2 linked regions of the Arabidopsis thaliana genome follow. The protein of the gene in region 2 interacts with the protein of the main gene of each other region in a pairwise test. Each region holds a gene or a part of one and is shown on either strand. Other genes may lie near its edges.

What was found. Proteins that work in one complex are often made in the same cells at the same time.
Region 1: the proteins of AT5G55950 (region 2) and SOBIR1 interact in a protein complementation assay, tested with the Arabidopsis thaliana proteins (one large-scale study listed by BioGRID).

The regions. Positions count from the first base shown.
Region 1 is NC_003071.7:13,553,009-13,557,728, reverse strand, and holds SOBIR1 (Leucine-rich repeat protein kinase family protein), read right to left. Parts: upstream 2,836-4,720; 5' UTR 2,810-2,835; coding exon 884-2,809; 3' UTR 752-883; downstream 1-751. Other genes in the region: RAP, read left to right, coding at 1-190, 282-364, 561-629; TEJ (Poly (ADP-ribose) glycohydrolase (PARG)), read left to right, coding at 3,973-4,215, 4,313-4,498. UniProt on the Arabidopsis thaliana protein: Dual specificity kinase acting on both serine/threonine- and tyrosine-containing substrates. Acting as a counterplayer of BIR1, promotes the activation of plant defense and cell death.
Region 2 is NC_003076.8:22,657,601-22,662,466, reverse strand, and holds AT5G55950 (Nucleotide/sugar transporter family protein), read left to right. Parts: upstream 1-1,961; 5' UTR 1,962-2,213; coding exon 2,214-2,292; intron 2,293-2,440; exon of another isoform or gene 2,441-2,508; coding exon 2,509-2,660; exon of another isoform or gene 2,661-2,745; coding exon 2,746-2,954; intron 2,955-3,032; coding exon 3,033-3,126; intron 3,127-3,224; coding exon 3,225-3,391; intron 3,392-3,477; coding exon 3,478-3,648; coding exon of another isoform or gene 3,649-3,709; exon of another isoform or gene 3,710-3,731; coding exon 3,732-4,056; 3' UTR 4,057-4,355; downstream 4,356-4,866. Other genes in the region: emb2731 (Uncharacterized protein family (UPF0172)), read left to right, coding at 4,573-4,794.

The DNA.
Region 1 (4,720 bases), on a different chromosome or scaffold from region 2:
GGAAAAACCAAAAGATTCAATCAGAAAATAACCTCATCGTTTCAGAAAGAAGTTGGACGCCTTCTTATAAGTACAGGGCTTGATTGGGCTAAAGAACATGATGTGGATGGCTACACCGTGGATGTTGCTCTGGTCGAGAAGAAAGTTGCTTTAGAAATCGACGGGCCAACTCATTTTTCAAGAAACTCTGGTAAGTGACATCACTCTGTTTCTTAATATATATTGGTGTCTGGTGGAGCCAACCCAAACTTAATGATCATTTCGACTCTTGTGTTCTACAGGACTACCATTAGGGCATACAATGCTGAAGCGGCGATATGTTGCTGCTGCTGGATGGAAAGTGGTATCTCTGTCTCTTCAAGAGGTGGGTCTATAACGTTGAAAAATGGAAACTGATATAAAATTGAGTTGCTAGGATAAGAAATTGTCTCCATTTTTAGAATACTTGTTCTGTTCAATAGTAAAAAGATCTCACATGCTCTTGCATAATTGATATGTTTTCCCATCTCAATCAGGAGTACATACTGAACATGTGTTGACTTTGTTTTTATTATTTTTAGTGGGAAGAACATGAAGGCAGTCATGAACAGCTAGAATATTTGAGGGAGATTCTCACCGGCTGCATATAGAGAAGACAAGTAACCAAACATGTAATGTGTTGTCATTTTAAGGTTGTTAATCAAGTGTTCTTTTCCGTTATGTATATAGCTAAGATTCTTATAGTAGATTGATGATTTATGTTTAGAGCAATAATCATAATTGAAATCCATTTAAATTTTACAGTCGCCATTACAAATTTCTGCCAAGATTGTGTTCATAGTTATTTCGTATGCAACAGGAATCTAGGAAATATAGATAGAAGCAAACAATACATATTGAAACACTAGTGCTTGATCTGGGACAACATGGTCCTGACATCTTTACTGTTCGGCCTCTGTTTTGGATCATCCAAAGTACAGTAACAGGCGATCTTCAGAACCAGAAGCATCTGTTCATCGAATCCTTGATCCATCAACTTCGGATCAATCGCAAGGCTAGGATTTTCCGATGTTATTATGTTCCTCATCCACTTTATCAGACTCATCTCGTCAGTATGCTGAAAAAACTCATCTGAAGGAAGCTTCCCAATCACCAGAATCCCAAGAATCACTCCAAAACTATAGATATCACATTTATCTGTGAACTTGTGGGTTTGATAAAACTCTGGTGCTATGTATCCCACAGTACCTGCAACATGCGAGGTTGTAATATGTGTGACTGCATCTGGCATTGCCTTTGCCAGTCCGAAATCTGAAATTCTGGCTTCCATGTCATCATCAAGAAGAACATTGGCTGGCTTTAAGTCTCTGTGAATGATTCGTGGGTTATGATCCATGTGAAGGTACTCAAGCCCTGCAGCTATACCTAAAGCAATCTTGTGCCTCGCTGGCCACATTAGTTCTTGATTTCCAGCTTGTACGTCAGTCAATATATCTTGCAAACTCCCCTTTTCCATGTACTCGTAAACGAGGTAGTGGCACTCGGGTCTTGACACGTGTGCTAACAATGGGAGAAGATTCCGGTGCCGGATATGGCCGACTGTGTTGATCTCGGATCTAATTTGCCTCATTTTCTTGTTCAGAAACTTGGAATCTTCATCTGTTAGTTCATCGGCGTCTTTAGGCGGTTGGATCACTTTCTTCACAGCTATGATCTTCCCATTGCTTCCTGGTAGTTCAGCTTTGAAAACTTCTCCACAACCTCCTCTTCCTATGATCTCCAGAGAAGCTAACGCTTCTTCATTCTCCAAGAAAGCTAAATCTTCAGCTTTCTTGATCAATGGGCTGAATATGGAAGGACCTGGTGGTTTTTCTGATCCTCTTATTGCTTGAATAATCAATTTGAACAACACCGAGAAGACAAACCCAGAGATTGTTCCTCCTATGGCTCCAACGACAAACCCTAAGATCCATGCCGCTACTTTCTTCTTCTTGCTCTTCTTCTTCTTCTTCTTCAACTTCCCTGGTTTTGGAGCTCCCTTTGGAGCTTTTGATGTAGTGCTGTTGTTGGGTTTGTTCGTGGGACTTGAAGTTGGAGTTTCAGCAAGAATGTGTCTTGTTTGATGTGGAGATGTCTGAAGCTTGATACTGCTCATAACCGGAGCCGGACCTTCCAAATACCGGTTTCCGGAGAAATCAAAGAACCGGAGATTGTGGAACGACACAATTTGTTCCGGGATTTTGCCTGAGAAGAGATTGTTTGCAACAGAGAGATTCTCCAGATTGCGTAGATTCTTCAAGAAATTCAAGTTCCCGGATAACTTGTTCGAAGAGAGATCAAGGATTCGAAGACGGCTCAAACTAGAAAAGTTTCCCGGAATCTGACCGGAAAATCTATTTTTCCGAAGATCAAGAACTTCAAGTTGCTTACAGCTTAAGATATCCACCGGAACAGCGTTGACCAACTGGTTATTAGACAAAGTAAGTTCCTTGAGCTCCGACAACATTCCGATGACCGGAGAGATAGTCCCCGTCAAGCTCCTGGATCGGTAGACGAGCCTCGTGACACGGAGAACGTATTCTCCGGTGGTGGCAGAGTGCCGTCTCTCGCAGAAAACTCCTCGGCGACCGCAAGGGTTGACATCACTGGCCGAAGAACGTTGACTGTTGACTCCGAGCTCTGTTTCGATGACCTGAAGAGCTTTGAGATCTGAGGAATCGATATCGAGCCACTCAACAGAGGAGACGAATGAAGAGAGAAGAAGAAAGGAGAGAACGGCGAGGATGAGAGGCCGGAGAAAGAGATTGGCGCTTCCCGTGGGAACAGCCATTTTAATTAGAGAAAGTTTCTTCTTGTGGATGTTGTCGGAGTCTACACTCTGTCTATTTATGGTCAGCAACTGGTACTAATCTATTGAGAAATCTTTACGTGTTTCGTGGTTTTTTTTTTCTTCTAAAACTTTATTTTTGAAGTGACAAAATATATTTGACCCAAAAAAAATAAAGTTACAAAATATATTCACAAGTTAATTTCTTAATATTGTTATACACTTATACATATAATTGGTAAACTTAAATTAACAGTTTGAAAAATTTATGGTTTGTTCAAGGGATCCATCCAAGCCCCGGTTTCATATCGAAAAAATGGGGTTTTCTATTGCTAGTATTTTATTTGATTAGTTTGATATTAATGATAGATTACTGAATTCTTACATAAGATCTCCTAACAAAATTGTATTTTATATTATGATATTTAGTTATCAATGGTTTTGGAGAAACATTGATTCAGCGTATACTTTTTGAATTATTTGTATATTCTTAATAAGAGTTCTGTTTTTAATTAAAGTCTAAAGAAGAAAAAACCATTATAAAAACTGATAATCCTGACCTGTGAAATGGGCTAAATTGTACATTTTTTTTTTGATTTAAATTCTTCCAGGAAGTTTTATGGGAAAATAATAAAGTAGAAAATGTGAATATAGAAAGTTGCAAAACTGTATTATTGATATAGCGAATTTTGTTATTGACTTGACTATGTAAGCGTTGATAAGTCAAAGTCTACGCTGTGGGTTCCATAGTGAGCCACCGTTTCCTACACGTTAGAAAAAAATAAATGTTATGTTACACACACCTTCTATTTTCCAGTCACTTTCTTTTAGCGTTTTCCGTCAATACGTTCGTTGTCTGTATCAAGATTCCAAACTGGTGAGTGTGAAATAACTCGAAACTGGCTTTTAACTTAAAATGAGTTAACCAGATAGCTAACGAGGATGTTATTGCCACTAAACCAATACATTACCGATATGGTTCAAGTTCCAACTTCCCGGTTCTACAAAACCGGTTTGCCTTTCGCCTTCGCACTCTTGACTTTTTTAGATTTTTTACTCCGGGACTTGAGTATCTTCTAGCGGCAGCAGAATCTTGTCGCAGAAGCGATTCGTAAACCTGTTTCAAAAGCAATTGAGAACAGCTGTGAGATTAGAAAAATCGAAAAATGGAGAATCGCGAAGATCTTAACTCAATTCTTCCGTACCTTCCACTTGTAATTCGTTCGTCGTCGCTGTATTGGCCGCCGCGTGTGGTGGAGGCGTTAAAGGCAATGTCTGAAGGACCATCTCACAGCCAAGTTGACTCAGGAGAGGTTCTACGGCAAGCTATTTTCGATATGAGACGATCCTTATCTTTCTCTACTCTCGAGCCATCTGCTTCTAATGGCTACGCATTTCTCTTTGACGAAGTAATTATCTCTTTTTAACTTTATGGTGATTGCTTTTGGATTTGAGTGTATCTTCAAATCGAATTGAGTAGTGGAACTAAGTTTTTGGTACTCGCAGTTGATTGATGAGAAAGAATCAAAGAGATGGTTCGATGAGATTATCCCAGCATTGGCGAGCTTACTTCTACAGTTTCCATCTCTGTTAGAAGTGCATTTCCAAAATGCTGATAATATTGTTAGTGGAATCAAAACCGGTCTTCGTTTGTTAAATTCCCAACAAGCTGGCATTGTTTTCCTCAGCCAGGTATTGATACAAAGTGCTATCTCCTACATTTGAGCTAAAGGTGTTTTTTTGGTTCTATTCCTGACTCTTGAGTAGTGATTTATGGGGAGGAAATTACGTCGAATATACATGTGTTCTTACTGGATGATTACCTTGTGTGTTGAAGATATAGTCTCTATGGATTCTTGCTTTTCTTACTGGATAATGACCTTGTGTTGAATATACATGTGTTCATACTGGATA
Region 2 (4,866 bases):
AACCGACGACTAATTGATGGGTCTATTCCTGGAATTAAAATCAGTAATTTGAGACATAATTTTTTTTATGAAACTTTATTGATGTTTTTGCTATAAGTAAATTAGACCGATACAAATTGTCAACTAAAAGAATGTCACATGCCTAGAACATGCATGACACAACAAAGCCAGATAATTAACGCAAGTCACAAACTCACAATCTAACACGTTCTCCTGTCTCTGTGATTATTGTAAGATCGACAGATTTATTTCTTCTATTCCAAAACAAGCACTCGATTAATATTTACTTACACGTGATTACCATTTTCTTACTATTTTATTTTATGGCACGAAGTTCCATTTCTTGATTATAAATTTTTAATATTACCGTACCAGAACGTTGACCCAAGTTTTCTATCAGGAAATTTGTTAGGAAATGACAAATTAGTGCTTGATATCATGCATGAATCATGATCAAAAGTTGGCCCCATGTTTTTAAAAACATGGGCTAAAATTTTGGGAAAAAATTAACGAAAAAAAGATTGATGAAATAATTCTGTCAAGTACATAATAAATTCATAATACGAGAATTACGTGAATAACCTAAATTTTGTATCAACATTATTAAAAAAAATAGTGTAGAGTTTCATAAATTAATAAAATAATTTAAATTCAAACTCTAATTAAATCTAACCTCTAGACTTTAAAATCTTAACTATAAATCCGTAATGCATGGAAACATTAATTCTTCTGTAAAACAATAAACAAAACAAAATGGTCAATTGTTTAGAAAGTTCAGTATTTTAGTTAGATGAAAAAGATTTACAATAATAATTGTGTGATTTATTGAGTAATGATCGGGTTTATTCACCAGCCATCAGGCGGCTGATCGGGCCAGTTAACTAACATAAGGTCTGAATAAAAATGGGCCGAATCAATAAGGCTCGTCAATCTCAGTCTTGTGCTACATGTATTTTCACTTCTTCCACTTCCAAGTTCAAACAAATTTCGCCAAAATGGGATTACCTTTATGAACCAAAAGACGACCAGGGGACCTGACTTTATCGGTGTTAATGTTTCAATCATACTAAAATCGACAGAAATTAAAGTAGTGGATCCACAAATCTTACATTTTTATTAGAATAAGAAGTTTACTTATACAAAGAGATGATGACGTGGCCATGCAAGCTTTTTGTTTTATTACGTAGGCCCTCGGCTCCAAAAGTTTGTTGAGACTTCGAAATCTTGGAATTAAAGCTTCTCGTTTTCGAGGTCAAGCGTACATGTTAAGTCATTTTTATTCGTAAAGTGATAATAAGCTTTTTAAGTATCATCAACTTTCATCACTTATACATAAAATTCATTTAATTTACTCTTTATACGTATGACACTTAACCAAAGCTTTTGCTATTTAATCATTTGGCTAACTAACACTTCTTTCTTTCTTTCTTTTGGTAGGTTGCGGAACTAATTAACGCTACTCTTTCAAAGTTAATTTTTTTTACTGATAGTGTTATGTTTCCACAACAGTATGTTGCGTGAGGTGACGTCTATATGCTTATGACTATAAGCTAGCAGCTTAAACTATGTACAAAAATGTACAATGTCATTATTGTGATCACAAAATTGGTAGTTAGTTAATGTCATATATATATATATATATATATGTGTGTGTTTTAATTTTGTTAGGTACAGAGGCACTCTTGTAAATAAAAACTACCACTAAAATCTGAATGTTTTGTGCATTAAAAAAGAAAGAAAGATAAAACCTCGTACCGATCTGAATAATTTTTTATCAATGAAGTCACAATTTTGTACGTTGATGAAGTCAACACGTGGCAAATTACAAACTCGACAATTTCCTCAAGAGAAACAAAAAAAATCCCTGAAAAATTCCTCAAAATTTTCTTAATTTTCGAGATAAATTGATTTAAAATAAAATAAAACAGAAAGATACGCAATGAAACTGCGTTTTCAAGCAAACTGCTAAATTTCTATCTTTTTTTCTCTCTCTCTCTCTCTCTATAAGGGCTCTGCTTCTTGTACAACAGCCGAAACAATTATACCATGACATTAAAATCCAGATTTTTTTCAGTCATTTTCGTATTATTTGTTTAAAAGTAAAGTTTTTCTTCCATCAAAATGGAAAATGTGATCTGGTTTTTTTCTTAGAAGATATTAAAACAATCGGAGAGAGGATTGCAAATTTTTTATTTTTGTTAATTTGCTGTGTGATGGGTCTGGTTGATTCTTTGTTAGGAAAAGATGCAAGAAAATTTCTCAAAAGGAAAGATAGTGATGCTGCAGAAGCAGGTACGTCATTATTATAACAACAATTCATGAATCTGCCTCCATATTCTTCATTTGATTTGCCTCATCATAATTCAGATTTCTCATGATCAAAAATGATGCTTTATTTATTCCCACGTTGTCTCTGTTCTTCACCGTTTAAGTTAAATGGTTTTGATCGGATCTTTAATGGTTTTGATCGGACCTTTAGGCTTTTTTGATCTGTTTGTGAATTTGTAGGACGAGCTTTGGAAGAACTCAGAAGTTCTTTGTACAATGAGCTTAAAACATCAGAAGGAGCTAAAAGGCAACAACAGAGATTTTGTGGCCCTGTTGTTGCAATGTCCTTTAATTTCGTTGTTGCTGTTGGAATCATCCTTGCCAATAAATTAGTAATTTGGTTTCTTCAATCTCAAATTCTTCTTTCTCTTTTTTTTATTTACCATGTGAATGTAATTGTAAGGTTGAATTGTGCAGGTGATGGGAAGAGTTGGATTCAATTTCCCAATCTTTCTAACATTGATTCATTATACCGTGGCTTGGATTCTTTTAGCTTTCTTCAAGTCTCTCTCTTTGCTTCCAATGTCTCCTCCATCAAAGACAACACCTTTCTCATCTCTTTTCTCTCTTGGAGCTGTCATGGCCTTTGCTTCTGGACTCGCTAATACCAGTCTCAAACACAATAGGTTCATAGCTCAATCGCTAAAGTTTGAATCAAGATTCATAGCTTAAGCTTGAAAGCTTTTGTTCTTCTTTGTTTCCAGCGTTGGATTCTATCAAATGGCTAAGATCGCAGTTACACCAACGATTGTTCTTGCCGAGTTTGTTCTCTTCAAGAAAACCATTTCTTCCACAAAGGTTTCGCTTATATCTTTTATGACATGTCAACAAAACAATCAAGAATTCATTACATGTTTTTGGTGCTTACTCTGTTTTTGCAATTTGTCCTCTTACAGGTCATGGCATTAGCTGTAGTATCTCTAGGTGTGGCAATCGCGACAGTGACGGATCTAGAATTTAATTTGTTTGGTGCATTAGTTGCTGTTGCTTGGATTATTCCAAGTGCCATTAACAAAATACTCTGGTCTAATCTTCAGCAACAAGCTAATTGGACTGCCCTAGCGTAAGAAATAAGAATCTCTCTCTTTTACTTTTACTTGAGGTGTAAGCAATACAAGTCTCTTAAAATAAAGGCTTTATTGAATGTAGATTGATGTGGAAGACAACACCGTTTACTGTCTTCTTCTTGTTGGCTCTCATGCCATGGCTTGACCCACCTGGAGTTTTGCTTTTCAAATGGGATTTAACTAACTCTTCCGCAATCCTCATCTCGGCTCTTCTCGGCTTTCTTCTCCAATGGTCTGGTGCACTCGCTCTCGGGTTAGTCTTTTTGTTCTCTTGCTTTGGTTGGAAGTTCAGTCTTGAGGTTATAAAATGCTAACTAAATTTGTTGTTTCTTACAGGGCAACATCAGCAACATCTCATGTAGTATTAGGGCAATTCAAGACATGTGTGATCTTGCTTGGAGGTTACGTTATCTTCGGCTCTGACCCTGGTTTCATCAGCATCTGCGGCGCTATCGCAGCTCTTGGAGGCATGTCTGTCTACACGTGGCTCAATCTTCCGGGGAAATCCATCGATCACATGTCAAACAAGCAGCTGCCAAAGCAAAACGTCACCGTTTCAAAACCTAAAGCCGAGGCTGACGACGGAGGAGGAGAGACCGGAGTAACCGTAGTTTCTGTTGACCCACTTCTCTCCAAGACGATAACTGCAAATATCGTATAGTTTTACAATTTGATTAGATTGCCAAAGAGAAAAAAAATGAGTTTTACTTTTTCTTCTTCAGGTTTTAGTTTGTAAAATTGGTTCAGTTTTGATATCAAATTAGTGTAGTAAAGTATACTAATAAAAATATTTTGATATCATAATGTGACAAGAGGGCTTGGTGGGTTTATTTGTACGATAATGAAATAGATGGTGTAGTTTAGAAGTAATGTAAAACTTGATGTGTATTTTTTTTTTTGTCGTCACTTGATGTGTATTATGAGGTGCAATTAGTAAATATAATAAACCTTTTTGACTTTTTCTATAATTTCAAAAACTTTAATGTAGTAAAGTGAAAACTTGTGGGGAATAGGGTTTTCGGTGATAAAATCGGGCTGACCCGAACCCGGTTTAGTGCGAGATTCCACTGTCCGTCGTTAACAAAGGAGCTAAATCTCAGAACGATTTCTCGATTTGCTTTTGCGACATTATAATTTTCCTTTCAATTGACTCAGTGAGTCGCCGATCGAGTTAGAAATGGGAATGGGAAGTAACGGAGAATTGAAGTATGAGATCTCCCAGAACGCGTACATCAAACTCGTTCTTCACTCGCTGCGACACAAGACGGCGGCGGTCAACGGAGTCCTCGTCGGTAGAATCAGCCCTAAGGACGACGGAGTTGTAGAGATCTCAGATTCTGTGCCGCTCTTTCACTCTAACCTCGCTCTCCTTCCTCCTCTCGAGATCTCCCTCATCATGGTTCGTATCTCTTCTTATTCGAATCGATTTGATTTTACGAGCTTTGAAATTGAATTTTGAAAGAGATTATGA